2 linked regions of the Struthio camelus genome follow. The protein of the gene in region 1 interacts with the protein of each later gene in a pairwise test. Links are inferred from orthologs where the notes say so. Each region holds a gene or a part of one and is shown in the gene's direction. Other genes may lie near its edges.

What was found. The genes of interacting proteins can lie anywhere in the genome.
Region 2: the proteins of TCEANC (region 1) and CSRNP1 interact in binary tests that used the Homo sapiens proteins (3 or more experiments, as listed by UniProt). The two-hybrid records come from large-scale screens. The link is inferred for Struthio camelus from reciprocal best matches to the Homo sapiens genes TCEANC and CSRNP1.

The regions. Positions count from the first base shown.
Region 1 is NC_090942.1:140,517,873-140,525,145, reverse strand, and holds the start of TCEANC (transcription elongation factor A N-terminal and central domain-containing protein), read left to right. Parts: upstream 1-4,231; 5' UTR 4,232-4,341; coding exon 4,342-4,432; exon of another isoform or gene 4,433-4,479; intron 4,480-4,625; exon of another isoform or gene 4,626-7,273.
Region 2 is NC_090943.1:6,779,072-6,786,072, forward strand, and holds the start of CSRNP1 (cysteine/serine-rich nuclear protein 1), read left to right. Parts: upstream 1-3,943; 5' UTR 3,944-4,143; intron 4,144-7,001. UniProt on the Homo sapiens protein: Binds to the consensus sequence 5'-AGAGTG-3' and has transcriptional activator activity. May have a tumor-suppressor function. May play a role in apoptosis.

The DNA.
Region 1 (7,273 bases):
GCTCGTCTTTGTGCAATCACAATAAGAACAATGAAATAATCCGCATGATCCAACCTACCATAACATCGCGTGCAAAATTTCAGTCACGCTTACTTCTTCTTAGGTGAAATTTCTCATCATTGTTTAGACACCGTTTTCAACCACCAATACTGTAACCAGGATTGCCATAATAGCTGGTGAATAGTGAAGGCTTACCCTCAACTAAGACAAGGCAAACAAGTACTTATAATAGCCCATGGCACAAATTTTGTTATGATATCCTCCCACTGAAACCAACTGATTGCTACATAACAAAACATTGGAGAAATCTGACATTAGGCAATCTTAGAGCAGGAAAGGTAACCCAGGATAATGATCATTCATTGGAATAAAGGAGAAATAGGAAAGCAGGTATATGATGAGGGATATTTTCTTGTGCATGGTCTTACTGCTCCCTAATCATATTAATGTATCCTCTTACTACAAGATTTAGTAAGTCAATCAATCTATTAAATTATTAAATAAACAAATCATTTTGAATATGTTGTGTACTTCTGCTTTTCCTGCTATCCCAGCTGCCTTCCTACACAAGATGGAAATGATTTGAGGGCCTTATGCTAGGACATATATACTTGCATACTTCCACTCAAACTGCATGCAAAGTTAAAAGTCTTCTTTTGGCTTACATTCCCCTGTCAAAAGACAGATGCCTCATCTGGGTAATGTCTGTTGGATGTGAGGTCAGAAAAAATTGCAAATAAGTTAAATCTCCTGCCATTGACAGACTGAGGCATGAACTTATTGGCCGATCAGGGCTACATGCTCCCAGAGGAATTCAGTTGGAAAGAAGTCTTCAAAATCACTGGAAAATATCTTCTTATTAGCCTCCCACACCTTCAACTTCTCCAAAGTCTGCTTTTTGCAGTACCTGTCTCTGCTTGTCACTTTTTCCTCCGTTATTCCAGCAACATCCTTCCTCTAACACTAAGAAGTTTGGGGGCCCTTCTGCTTCATCAGTCAGTACTGTTCTTGGCTTTCGAGATTTTTCAAGGATGATATAATTCTTCTTAGGCAGGAAACACAATATTAAAAATCACATTTCAGAGCCTGTGCTAGAAAATGGCTGTAATTCTGAAAAAATCTGTTTTATTCAGCCATGTTAATATAGCGTGTCTGAATTGTTGCCACCTCTTGTTTCATTTTTGCAAACAGTCATAGTTCCAGGGAGATTTAGTATGAAACTATCCCATGGCCAATTCAGTGCTATACAAATGTATTTAAAAAGGCTGCATGAAATATAAATTAAATAGGATTATGGTTCTTTATAGGACGAATAGTATTTTCAATAATGGTATTTGTAACTTTACTTAGTAGTCTTTGATTTTCAGTCAGGAAGAAAGGGTATTTTTTAATCATTCATCACAACTTTGGCATTCAAGCTTTCTGCTGAAGACATGGAGACAAATTCTGTTCTCAGCCATATTTGTGTAAACCTATTACTCATCTGATTTCACTGCTGACACTTTTATACTGATATTACTGAGAGCAGAAATTGACCTTCCCTCCCTATCTAGGAGTATTTCTAGCAAGTGACCAACCATTTCCTTTTTAGGTTTTCAAGGCAGTTTCCTTGATTCCATTCCATAAGAAACAGATGCTACTATTACCTGTGCGCAGGGTTTTAGAAAGTTCAGATCACACAGCCAGGGCTTGATCTGTGATCTCCTTCATAGATATACATATACATTAATAAATAAATCAAGTAATAATTGTGGCAATTTTGCAGGATGTTTTCTGCCTGATGGCATGCCACACGCATTCACATGCGTTCTTATGCTAATACAGTCTTTCTGTAGATAGCAGGCAGACGATGCTAAACCACAGCTGATTTAAACTCAGAAATGTTAAACTATTACAGTATGTCACAAAATGGTGTGTCATATCAGTGTGGGATTATATGATAAAGGAGCAACATTTTATGATAAAACAGCAGGCATTGTTAGTCCCTGATAAGACATAATTTTAAAAATGAAATAAAAATGTAAAAATTAATTTCATAGCATAAATATCACCCATCTATTTTGTTTTGATCTTTTTTTCTTTAAAAAGAACTGTTGTTCTGGAAGAAATCTCTTTTTAGTAAAGCTTATTTGAAACTGATTCTGTGCCTGAATCTTATGATGAATATTGTTTGACCAACTTTTTTCCAGCTAGTTCTGTAAATATCTTTTGCAGCTGGCAGAATATATCATTTTTTGAATAGCAGTCTATGTTTTTAGAGTAGTAGACACATACCACAGCCAATACTAAAGTCTCATGAACTCGGAACTTGTAGATGTTATGGTAGCACTGATTTGATCCTGAAAAAATGTACAAAGATGTACGTATATATCATTACACACATATAAACATAGGTATGAATTTAGAATGTATATCATGTTTATCATATTTTTATTCTGTTTTACTTCAGGAGTAATTGAGAAAGCATTATTGTCCCTGTTTTATAAATGGGAACCTGGAACAATGACTCGTTATTCATTAACACAAAGATGATTTAAAGGAGAAGCCTATGCAGTCCTTCAAGCGGGAATCAGTCCTCCGAACCTGCCCCGAGAGGGACGTCCTGTGTTCTGAGCCCTGCTCAAAGAGGGGTAATGGCGAGAGGCAGCGAGTCGTGCTCCTTCCTGTGCTTCTCTCTGCCAAGGGAGCTCTCTGTCTTTGTCATGGGCAATGCACTTTCAAGCGGAGGGTGTAAAGAGTTCTCTACATACCACACTCGCAATCTTAGCAGACAGAAAAAGGTTAAAGAAAACTAGCATCGGAGAGCCTTCTCTTGGGATCCTCAAACTGAGACTAAACTGAAAGTCTCGGATACTGCAATGACAGCTGCTGCTAAGCTAATGATATACGCATGCTGCAGAAAAACATAAATACATGTAAGATAGCCCATTGGATGACGTGCTGTATTTGGACTTGGAAGGCTTGGACTGTGTTCCTGGTCTGTCAGCGGTTTGCTGAGAGGGGTCGGGAAAGTCACCTCCTCTGTCCCAAGTTCTTTGCCTCCTCTCATCTGGTTATACTATGGACTCTCGGGGATAAGCCTTGTCCCGCACTTTGTTGCTGTACGGGCCAGAGAGAGGAGGCACGGAGGAAGCCAGATCTCAACTGTGGTCTCTGTTTGCCTGCAATATGTAGCCATGTGGAACAACACTAACCATTGCAGCGTGTGTTCAATCACTAATGAATTTGTTAGCTTGACACACATAAATTGTGAGGTGAGTTAATTATTACATGAAATTAGCAATCATTTAAGATTCCTCAGTTATCAATGTACAAATCAACCACTGCATCACTGCATCACTTCAGACTCCACAGACCCTGACAGCTTAACACATTGTAATAGTAGGCAATAAAGAACACTGATTCACTGGCTCATTACAATGATTTAATAATTTGCTTATTCTTATACCATTTTTAATAGCATATACAATAATGCTAGGGTTTTTTCCCCTTTTGTGATTAGTGCTGGTGATGTTTATTATGTAAAAAAGGGGGGAAGGGGAAGAGGTGTGTCTGCCTTATATGGTACTCAAGTTGAAAAATGCATTTGGCAAGTTGATTTCAGGTAGGAGCCCTCATTGTCAGCAGAGGGCTCCAAAGGCCTCATTAGTAAACAAACACAAAAACGTCTTAAGAAATGACCCGGCTTTTCCACTGTAATTGGGGATAAACTCCTCCGTACACCTCTGCATTTGCTGTAGAACGGACTAGGTGTATTAATCTTTTAGGCAAGCATTTTGAATGTCCAATGTAAAATATATGTGACAGGGGAAAGCACAGCAATAAAAAGTCAATAACAAACGTATTAGCTTTGACTAAAATGCATCAACTTTTAGATGTTGACTGCTGAATAAGTTCAGCACCTGTCATTATATCCAAAAGCTGTTACCCTGTGACGCGTGCTTTATAATATTTAGCTTTAACCCTGTGCATACCGACAGCTCAATTCATCATTCAACCAGCTAGTTGTTTATGCTTAAAAGTAATGCAGCACAGCGCTGAAAAATGGGAAGGTTTACAATGGTTTTGCCCCTGTTAGCTTCACACAGGATACTCATTTACGTGTCATACCGGCTTGCACTAGCTGCGTTTGCTTGAGAAGGAACACACCGACACGGAGGTTAAATTTTAAAATTACGCATTAACAATTTTTTTTTCCCTAAGGCTCAGGACGGAGCAGGGCCAAAGCCCTTTTTCTCCCCCGCTATTTGGGAAACACACCGTCTGAGAGCGGCACCCACGGCCCGCTACCCAGGCCGGCGCCCAGCGGGGCGGAGCGGGCTGCCGCTGACCCCGCACGAGATGGCGGCGGCTGCGCTGCCCGCAGCGGAGGCAGGAAGCGGCGAGCTAGGCGGGGGGGGGGGGAGGCGCCATGTTGAGGCCCGGCGCGGAGGTAACGGCGCCAGCCTCGGTGCCGGGGGGTGGTTTGTCGGTGAAGCTGTGCGTTTCGCCAGGGCAGCGGCAGCGAGGCGCATAGGCTCCCCCCGCGCTGCCTGTCAGGGGATGCCGGGGAGACGTTGCTGCCCGTCTCCGGGCGTTGGGAGCGCGGCCCGTGAGGAGGGGGCGGCGGGAGCGAGCGGCGCGGCGCGGGGGCGCCGGAGCGCCCCGAAATGGCGTCGGCGGCCGCGGGCTCGGCCCGCCCGGCGGCGGCCCCCGACGCCCGCAGAGAGGAGCCGTCCGCGCTGCTTCGCCGGGTGGCGCGTTGAGGCGGGTGCCAGGCTGGTCCCGTTTCTTCCGTGGTGGGGTGACAGGCGTGGCAGGCCCCGGCTCCGGCCGCGCGGGGCCGCGAGCAGGAGCAGACCCAAGGAGAATCGGTGAAGGACGGCGTGGCGCAGGAAGCGTTTCCTGAGGAGTTAGTGGTGGTGGTGGGTAGGTCAGTGCTTGCTTTTCTGTCTGTCTTCGGCGTGCCGAGGAGACCGAGAAAGGGGGCAAAAATTTGCCCTTAAGCAATACGGCAGCGGACCCGACTTCAGCGGGAAGCGTCCGAGGAGTTGTGGGAGAAAGACCTCTGAGGAAGTTTTAATGGCGAATTTGAAATAAAAGGCATGGAGTTAGCACACTCCTCAGATCCCTGTGTGGGATCCATTAGAAATTGCACTGGGCCACGGTTTTTATGGGAGCGATCGCAAACTAATTTGCAGTCAGATTTGCATGTAGTGTCTTACACTAGTGTCCGACACCCCCGTTACAGTGCCGATGGTCGGCCACTGGGGTAGACACACCAACTCCCTAAGCCCTCCAGGTGAGCTGTGGTCTCCAGTTGATTTTCCTGTCAAGCAAACGTCAGCTGGTTTTATCCAAATGCATGCGGCAGGGCTGCTTCTCTGCACTGTCGTAATTACCCTAGTGATTTGTCATGAGCGGCTGTAATCCTCATTGCGGAAGAGGCTAAACTTGAAAATTGCAGGATGAATATCCGTGCTGATGGTACTGTGGGAATTTTTTTGAGATTTATTGTGTTAGTCTCCACGCAGCATTGATGTATTCAGATAAGTCAACTGCTGACATCGATTTGGAATGGAATGAAAGAGTTCACACTTTTATTCAGCAATGTAGTTTTGTTTTTCATAACTAAGGACTTTAAAAATCCATTTCAAGTGTATGTCACATCCTTCCTGTTTTCAATCGGTATATGTCAAGCATCGTTGAAAGCTCTCAAATGTTTAGACTTTATATGTATTAAGCATTCCCTTTTGTATTTTAGCAGAAGAATTTTTAAAAGTTGTTAATATCTTACAAATATGCTTTGTTTGTAACATAATTTATTTGTAAAGGAGTGGGGAACATATGTGCTCTTCTGCATGTAAAGGAATATGTTTCTAAAGGGAAAAAGTTATTTAATTTCTCAATGGAAGACCTGTAATAGAATGGTAAAGTGATATCTAACGTAACTATATCCCCAACAAGTAAATGGTAAAAGGAAGTAGCGTGGAGCTGAGGCTGAGCTAGAAACTGAACGTTGAAGCAATAAGTATGTTCGTTCAACAAATGATCAAAAAATACCTAGTCACCCTCAAAAGTTCACGACAGATTTTATGATTTACGTGTTTCATTTTTATAGTGTATTGATTTATTTTCTCAGCACAATATGTTATGAAAAGACACTGCAGACAGAACATTTACTTCAGTTGTGGTATACTGGAATTTAAGCCTGCAAGTAATTATTAAAAGAAGCCTTCAGCAAGGTAAAAGCTCTGTTGGGATGCGTGCTTTCATTGTAACATCAGCTGGAACGTCTACAACTCAACAGCTGTAGTAAAAGTGGTTTAATTCATAAAGAATATTCTCAGCTAGTTGTTACCAGTGAGGAAAGTCAGAGTTGTCACTCACAAGGTGTAGCTGTACCATTTTTAGTCCTTTCTTTTTTTCTTTTTTTTTTTTTTTTTGCTCCAGCATATGTACTGATGCCAAATGAAGAGAGTTGTGCTAAGCCTGGTAAGGGCAGCAGATTTTCCTTCCTCATTAAGTCCATACATGTTTGTTTGATCTTATCAGAAAAGTGTGCTGAGAACTGTACATTGGGTCTTGATCCCTGAGGCTTGATAACTTCATTATGCAGTCTTTTTTTGTTTGTTTGTTTTAGGAAATAGATTTCCCATTCTAATGAAAAATGCAGGTTCTAGGGGAAGCAGTTCCAAATCAGGATAAAAATTAGCCTTTTATATACATCCTCCCGTGAGTACAATCTACTGCTGCCAATCTCTCTCTTGCAAACCCCCTCTCTGGCAAAGAAAGCTGTGAGAGAATGGATCCAGTAAGAGAAATTCAGGGTAGGGAGAGTATAACTCCAGACTAGTTAAGGCTACTATAGTTAAAGCAGTCTCTTTAATGTGGGTGATGCAGTACAAAACTATTGCTCTATCAGATTGTTTATTATTCCTATACTCTTTTCTTTTGTTTTTAAAAATGTTTTTACATGATATTTTAACATAATTTTCTTTGCCTTGTTCTCTGTGATTCTACTCCGTTGTGTACAGAGAAACAGAAGATTCATTTTGCCTCCTGTACTACATTTCTAGAGTTCTGTAATTGAGGGAGAGATTTCTGGAATGGCTTTGCAGTAATTCTGAGATCGTGTACTTTGCTTCTTATAGATCTGTGACTAGGAGGTAACTCTTCTGGTCAATGAGGATATCTGGCAACGGTAGTGTTGTATTATCTCAGTTATTATTGTATTAGCTCAATGTTATTCATGAGGCTTTCTTCGAAGTTGAAACTCTGTAAAGTTCAGAGG
Region 2 (7,001 bases), on another chromosome or scaffold:
GACGCTTTCCGACAAATAAGGCCGGCGAGGCCCGGTAACGTCTCTCACCTCGCCGTCGCTAGGGCCGCAGCGCACCTGGGGCGAGTCGGGCGTAGGGCGCAGAGCGAGGCAGGCCTTCGTCCGCCCGAGACGACAAACAACGGCGCGGCGGCGAGGTTTTTCGGCGGGGGGAACATCACCGTTTGCCAACCAGCCCGGCCGCCGAGAAGCCGGGCCGTAGCTGCCGCCGGAGAGGCGGGAGGCCCCGGCGCCGCCTTTGCCGCCCCCTGGGTGTTGGGGTCAGCGCTTCACGGGCGCCATGTTGCTGCTTCTTTGCCTTTGCTGCCGCTCACAGCTCCCTCCTCTTTTTTGGGGGGCTTTTTTGAGGTTTTGTCGTCCCCCCCCCAAACCCAGGAGCAGCACCAGAGCGCCATATATATAAAATGATATATTAAGAAAGGACTGTGCCGTCCCAGTACAGACCCATCGTTTCCCAGTTGAGGTGAACAGCCCGGAGCCCGCAGCTGAACCGAAGCCTTCGCCTTGTCGCTTTGATGTCCGCCTTTCGGGGGAGAAAACCCAACTCGGAGCCCTTTTTTCACCTCGCCTCCCGGCTGCTGCCGCCGCCGCCGCCAGGTTAAACAGAAAATTTTTGTTGTTGCTGTTGTTTTTCTCTCCGAAATCCACTGGTTGGGAGGAAGGAGGAAGGAGTCGCAACAGCAAAACCCGCGTTGAGTCAAACTGAGAACAACTTCACGCAACCTACGCAGGAAAAACGTCTTACATCGTTGGAGGGTTATTTATCCTGGGGTGTAAGCGTTTACTTCTTGGGCCGTGCCGTGCCTTTAGGCTGCTTTTTTAAAGGAAAAGCAGTGCTTCGGAAGGAAAAGCCCGAAAGTTTTGCTTCAAAATGCCTTTCTCACACTCGGACACGTCTGAGGTCAGAACCGCTCGTCCCGACTGTTGGCCCTGAGTTGCTAAAGGGTTTTTGTCTTGCCCGGGACTTAGGTCACAGCAGCTTTACTACTGTTGGAACAAATAAACGCAAAGGAGAAAACAAGGCCGGCGACGGGCCGCGCCGCTGCGACTAAAGGACGCTGCAAGCAACCCGCCGCCCTCCGCGAGCCGCCGGTGTTGCAATTTCTCTCCGCCAGCAGAGCGGGCGGCTCGGGCTCGCGTGCGGGGCGGAAGCTGCCGCCTGATGCACCTCCAGCGCACACAACAACAACAACAACAAAATAAATAAAATAAAATAAAAGAAATAAAGCCTTTTATTTCTCGTCGTTAGCCAGTAAGTCGTGAAACCCCAACACGTCCACGAGCCTGCCCGTCATTCGGCCCGACCGTGGCGGCGCGCTGGCATACCTCATCTGCCCGGCACCAGAGGTTCAACGCCGGGTTGCTTTAGCTCAGCGTTGCATAAAGGGAATATTATGGTGCGGAAAAGGGGGGGGTGGCTAAAGAAAGGCTCTGTGTGCGCCGCCAGGACACCGGGGCCCGCGGCGCTCGCGGTCGCTGCCGGGCGTCTTTTATTAAAACCGTCTTCCTTCCCCTCTCGCGCGGAGCCGCTCGCCCACTCCGCTGCCCTGCCGAGGGCGGTGGCGGGGGGGGGGGGGTGTTCGCGTTTCCTACCGTCCCCCGGATGCTGAGCCACGGCGGCTTTAGCAGTCATCGTTTTTGCACCTGATAAAGCATCTCGCGTTTTAATTTCATCCTAAAAGCCTCGCGCCCCCCCGCCCCCGCCTGTTTTCAGGGGCCATTATGGGATCCAAACCCCTTTTGGGGACCAGCTCCAGCTTATGGAGCCCAAACCCCGTTTCAGGACCCAGATATTTTTGGGGAACCCAGAGCTCTTTCGGGAGCCAAGATTTGCTTATGGGGTCCAAGCCCCTTTTGGGGACCCAGACCCCTTTTGGGCATCCAGATGCCTTTGGGGGGCCAACCTTTGCTTGTGGAGCCCAAATCTCTGTTGGGGACTCAAACCTGTTTCAGGGGTCAACATTTGCTTATGGGATCCAAATCCCGTTCTGGGGACCCAGACCCCTTCTGGGAACCCAGACCCCTTTTGGGGCTCAAAATCCCTTTTGATGACCCAGACCCCTTTTGAGGGCCAACCTCTGCTTATGGGATGTAAACCCATTTTGGGGGCTCAGACCCCTTTTGGGGACCAGTCTATGTTCATAGGATCCAGCCCCCTTTCGGGGACCCAACCCCCCTTTGGGAACCCAGACCCCTTTTGAGGACCCATCCCTTTGGGCATGGCATCCAAATCCCTTTTGGGGACCCAGACCTCTTTTGGGGACCCAAACTCCTTTTGGCAACCCACCCCCCTTTTGGGCACACAGACCCCTTTCAGGGATCCAGATCTCTTTTGGTGACCCAAGCCCCTTTTGGGGATCCAGACCTCTTTTGGGGACCTAATCCCCCTTTGGGGAACCCAGACCCCTTTTGATGACCCAAATCCCTTTTGGGCACCCAAACCCCTTTTGGTGACCTATCTCCCTTTTGGGGACCCAGACCCCCTTTTGGGGAACCCAGACCCCTTTTGGTGACCCAAAGTCCTTTTGGGGACCCAACCCCCTTTTGGGGACCCAGACCTCTTTTGGGCACCCAGACCTCTTTTGGGGACCCAACGCCCCCCTTTGGGAACCCATCTCCCTTTTGGAGAACCCAGACCCCTTTTGGGCATGCAAACCCCTTCTGGGGACCCAGACCCCTTTTGGGCACTCAGACCCCTTTTGGTGACCCAGACCTCTTTTGGGGACCCAACCCCCCCCCTTTCAGAATCCAGACCCCTTTTGGAGAACCCTGACCCCTTTTGGTGATCCCAGATCCCTTTTGGGGAACCCAGACCCCTTTTGGGCATGCAAACCCCTTCTGGGGACCTAGACCCCTTTTGAGGACCCAGACCTCTTTTGGGGACCCAACACCCCCCTTTGGGAACCCAGACCCCTTTTGGGCACGCAAACGCCTTCTGGGGACCCAGACCCCTTTTGGGAACCCAGACCCCTTTTGGAGAACCCTGACCCCTTATGGTGATCCAGATCCGGTTTGGGGAACCCAGACCCCTTTTGGGCATGCAAACCCCTTCTGGGGACCCATCCCCCTTTTGAGGACCCAGACCCCTTTTGGGGAACCCGGACCCCTTTTGGTGATCCAGATCCGGTTTGGGGAACCCAGACCCCTTTTGGGCACGCAAACCCCTTCTGGGGACCCATCCCCCTTTTGGGTACCCATCTCCCTTTTGGGGAACCCAGACCCCTTTTGGGCACGCAAACCCCTTCTGGGGACCCATCCCCCTTTTGAGGACCCAGACCCCTTTTGGTGACCCAAACCTCTTTTGGGGACCCAACACCCCCCCCTTTTGGGTACCTGGACCCCTTTTGGAGAACCCTGACCCCTTTTGGGCACGCAAACCCCTTCTGGGGCCCCATCTCCCTTTTGGGTACCTGGACCCCTTTTGAGGAACCTGGACCCCTTTTGGTGATCCAGATCCCTTTTGGGTACCCAGACCCCTTTTGGGGAACCCAGACCCCTTTTGGGCACACAAACCCCTTCTGGGTACCCAGACCCCTTTTGGGGAACCCAGACCCCTTTTGGGCACGCAAACCCCTTCTGGGGCCCCATCTCCCTTTTGGGGACCCAGACCCCCTTTTGGGGAACTCAGACCCCTTTGAAGCCCACCCCGTTGTGTGCCCCCCCCGCTCCTCCACTGGCGGCACCCAGCCCCGCCGCCGCCACCCCCGCGGGGCGACGATGTAGGGGGGCGGCGGCGGCGGGGGGGGGGGAGGCAGCAGCCCGTCGCCCGCGGCGGCTCCGCGCCCCCCGCCGGGGCGGTCGGCGCCCGGGCAGCGCCGCGGCGGCTGGAGGCTCCCGCCTGCCGGGCCGGCGTTGGGGTTGGGGTGGCGGGGAGGGGGGTGGTGGTGGAGGGACGGGGCGGGAAGGACGGGGAAGGAGCCGGGGGGGGGGGGGGCAGGAAGCCGGGCGGGCAGGCCGGGCCGCGCCGTCTCCTCGCCCTGTCACCGCCTGCGTCAGAGCCCCGGAGTTTTCCACTGACGAAAAAGGGCAGCGCAGCGCGGCGCGGCGCAGCCCCGGCAGCGGCAGCGGCAGCAGCGGGAGGCGCCGCGCCAGGCACCGCCGCCGCCGAGCCGCGCCGAGCCGCAGGTAGGGCTGCGGGTGCCCTGGGCTGGGGGGAGACGTGGAGGAGGGGGCGTCCTCGGGGATGCGGCTCCGTGCTCCGCCGTTGCGGGGTCGAGATCGGTGCCCGGAGCGGTGCCCCTCGGTCGGAGGTCCCCTACTCGGTGCCCCTCGGTCGGGGGCGCCCGCTCGATGCCCCGCGGTCGGGGGTCCCCGTCTCTGTTCCCCTCGGTCGGGGGTCCCCGTCTCTGTTCCCCTCGGTCGGGGGTCCCCTACTCGGTGCCTCTCGGTCGGGGGCGCCCGCTCGATGCCCCGCGGTCGGGGGTCCTCGGCTCGGTGCCTCTTGGTCGGGGGTCCCCTACTCGGTGCCCCTCGGTCGGGGGTCCCCTACTCGGTGCCCCTCGGTCGGGGGCGCCCGCTCGATGCCCCGTGGTCGGGGGTCCTTTGCTCGGTGCCCCTTGGTCGAGGGTCCCTATCTCGGTGCCCCTCCGTCGGGGGTCCCCGGCTCGATGCCCCTCGGTCGGGGGTGCTCGCCTCGGTGCCCCTCGGTCGGGGTGCCGGGCTCGGTTCCCTTCGGTCGAAGGTCCGCATCTCGGTGCCCCTCGGTCGAGGGTCTCTATGTCGGTGCCCCTCCGTCCGGGTGCCGGGCTCGGTTCCCCTCGGTCGAGGGTCCCCGTCTCGGTTCCCCTCGGTCGAGGGTCCGCGTCTCGGTTCCCCTCGGTCGAGGGTCTCTATGTCGGTGCCCCTCGGTCGGGTGTCCTCGGCTCGGTTCCCCTCGGTCGAGGGTCCCAGGCTCGGTGACCCTCCGTCGGGGGTCCCCGTCTCAATTCCCCTCGGTTGGGGGGGGGGTCCTCTGCTCGATGCCCCTCGGCCGGGGGCGCCCTCTCGGTTCCCCTCGGTGGGGGTCCGCGGCCCGGTGCCCCTCGGTCCGGCTCGGTGCCGGGCTCGGTGCCCGGCCGCGGGGGCCCGGACGGGAGCGCCGCGGCGGGGCCGGGGGCGGCGGGGCAGAAGCGGAGGACACGGACGGGAGGGCCCCGACGGGGGGCTCCAAACCCTGCCGCCGAGGGGGGCCCGCTGCCCCTGCCCGACGGCCGTGTCGGAGCGGCAAGGTGGAAACGCTGCGCTATATATATGTGTATACACACGCATATATATATGTATATATGTATGTATTTTTTTTTTTCCGAGTTGCACTCAATTTTCCCCTTGTCAGTTAAGTCAGGAGCCTGCTCCATCTTTAAGGCTGCGGTTCCAATTTTCTGATGTTGAAAGAACCGGCGGGGGGGGTGGGAGGGGGGGGAAGGAAAAGGGGGGGGGGAGGCGGCTTGACGGCTCTCTCTTCCCCAAATTTGCCCGGCTGGGGATGTTTTCCCGTCGCTACAGCAACACCTACCGGCGTGGCCCGGCGGCTCCGGCAGCCTCCCCGCGCCCGGCCCGCCGGCCCCGGCCTCCTTTGCTCCTCGAAATAACCAATTTGGGCTTTAGCTTGCACCTGAGAAAATATCTAGTAAAGTTTCCTCAATGTGTATTTTTTGCTTCCCCCTCCCTCCCCTCCCCGCAAGGATCTGTCACCTACGAGTTACATAATCTCGCTTTAGGAAGAGGCTGACACATGCCACAACCCTTCTCTAAAGCAGTCCCGGCTTACTAACGCGCCTAATTACAAAGCATCGGTGGGACGGGAGAGAAAACGCTCGGAGCCATTTGCAAACCTAAAAGTCAAGTCGTTTGTTACAGCAAATTATCAAGTCACCAGCAAGTGGAGGTTTTGTTGTTGTTTGTTGTTGTTGTTTTTCTGGTTTTCCACGAGAGTTTTTTTGCTAAGCGCTTTGCGGATGAGGCCCGTCAAGGTTCAGAGGTTTATTTTCGGGATAGCGCGTTTGTTCTCCGCTCGGCGAGGCTCTGCAGCTCCTGGCAAGCCTTTAATAATTTAGTGCAGGAAATGTGTGCGTCTATATAGAAGGCAAGGTAATGCACAGTGTGTACCTACAGGAGGACAAATATGGAAACCTGGCGTGAATTATTCATAAGGTGTAATCAAATAGAGGATTTTCCTAGACAAAGCGCACTTTGCTGTTTTCATATTTATTACAGTACAATCTGGGCTGAGTGTATTTGAACCTCATTTCGTTTGGGCCGTGTCAGATAACCTTTAATGCATTTGCTAATGTTTCTTATTTACCTTTCAAGTTGCCAGCAAGAAATAATGGCTTGACAGAAAATATCACAGCTGGGGGCTTGCTGAGCTTTTTTTTTATTATTATTTTTGGATTTTTCCCCGTGCTTTTGAAAATTATTCGGTCAAGTAAGCACTTCTTATATTCTTCCCGGGGAAGGTGTTTTGCTTTTTCAGTCTCTGGCATGAGAATAAACTCGTGGTACTACGAACTGATTCATGCTGCTATTCTGTGGCACCGAGTAGTTTGGGTTTTACTGTTGCATAGTAGGCAGAGTCTATTTTTAACCAGAGTAAGGTTATGAAACCTTAGACCCAGCTGAGTGAAAATAATCTGGTTGGAAGTGGAAAGCACGGCTCCCGCGCCTGGGAATACTTGCGGGGAGACGGACCAGCTCCCGCTCTCTCCCTCGGAGGGTCTCGCCGGGCTGAGCCGCCGCTTGGCGCTCGCCGAAAGCAGCCCGGGCGCTCGCCGAAATTGGGAAGCGTCAGAGCGGAGGCTGCGACAGCGGCACGAGGGAAACCGCTTAAGTAAATATGCAGAGAATTAAAATAGTTAAATGAATGAGCCATGAATCAGGGCTGATAGCAGGCTGATTATTAAGTAACCCAGAGGCGTTGCTGGAAGCACCGCCGTGGTTAGATGTCAAGTGTGTCAGAGAGCTAAAGGAAAAGCTCAGCTTCGCACCAGTTTTTAGTAATACTCACC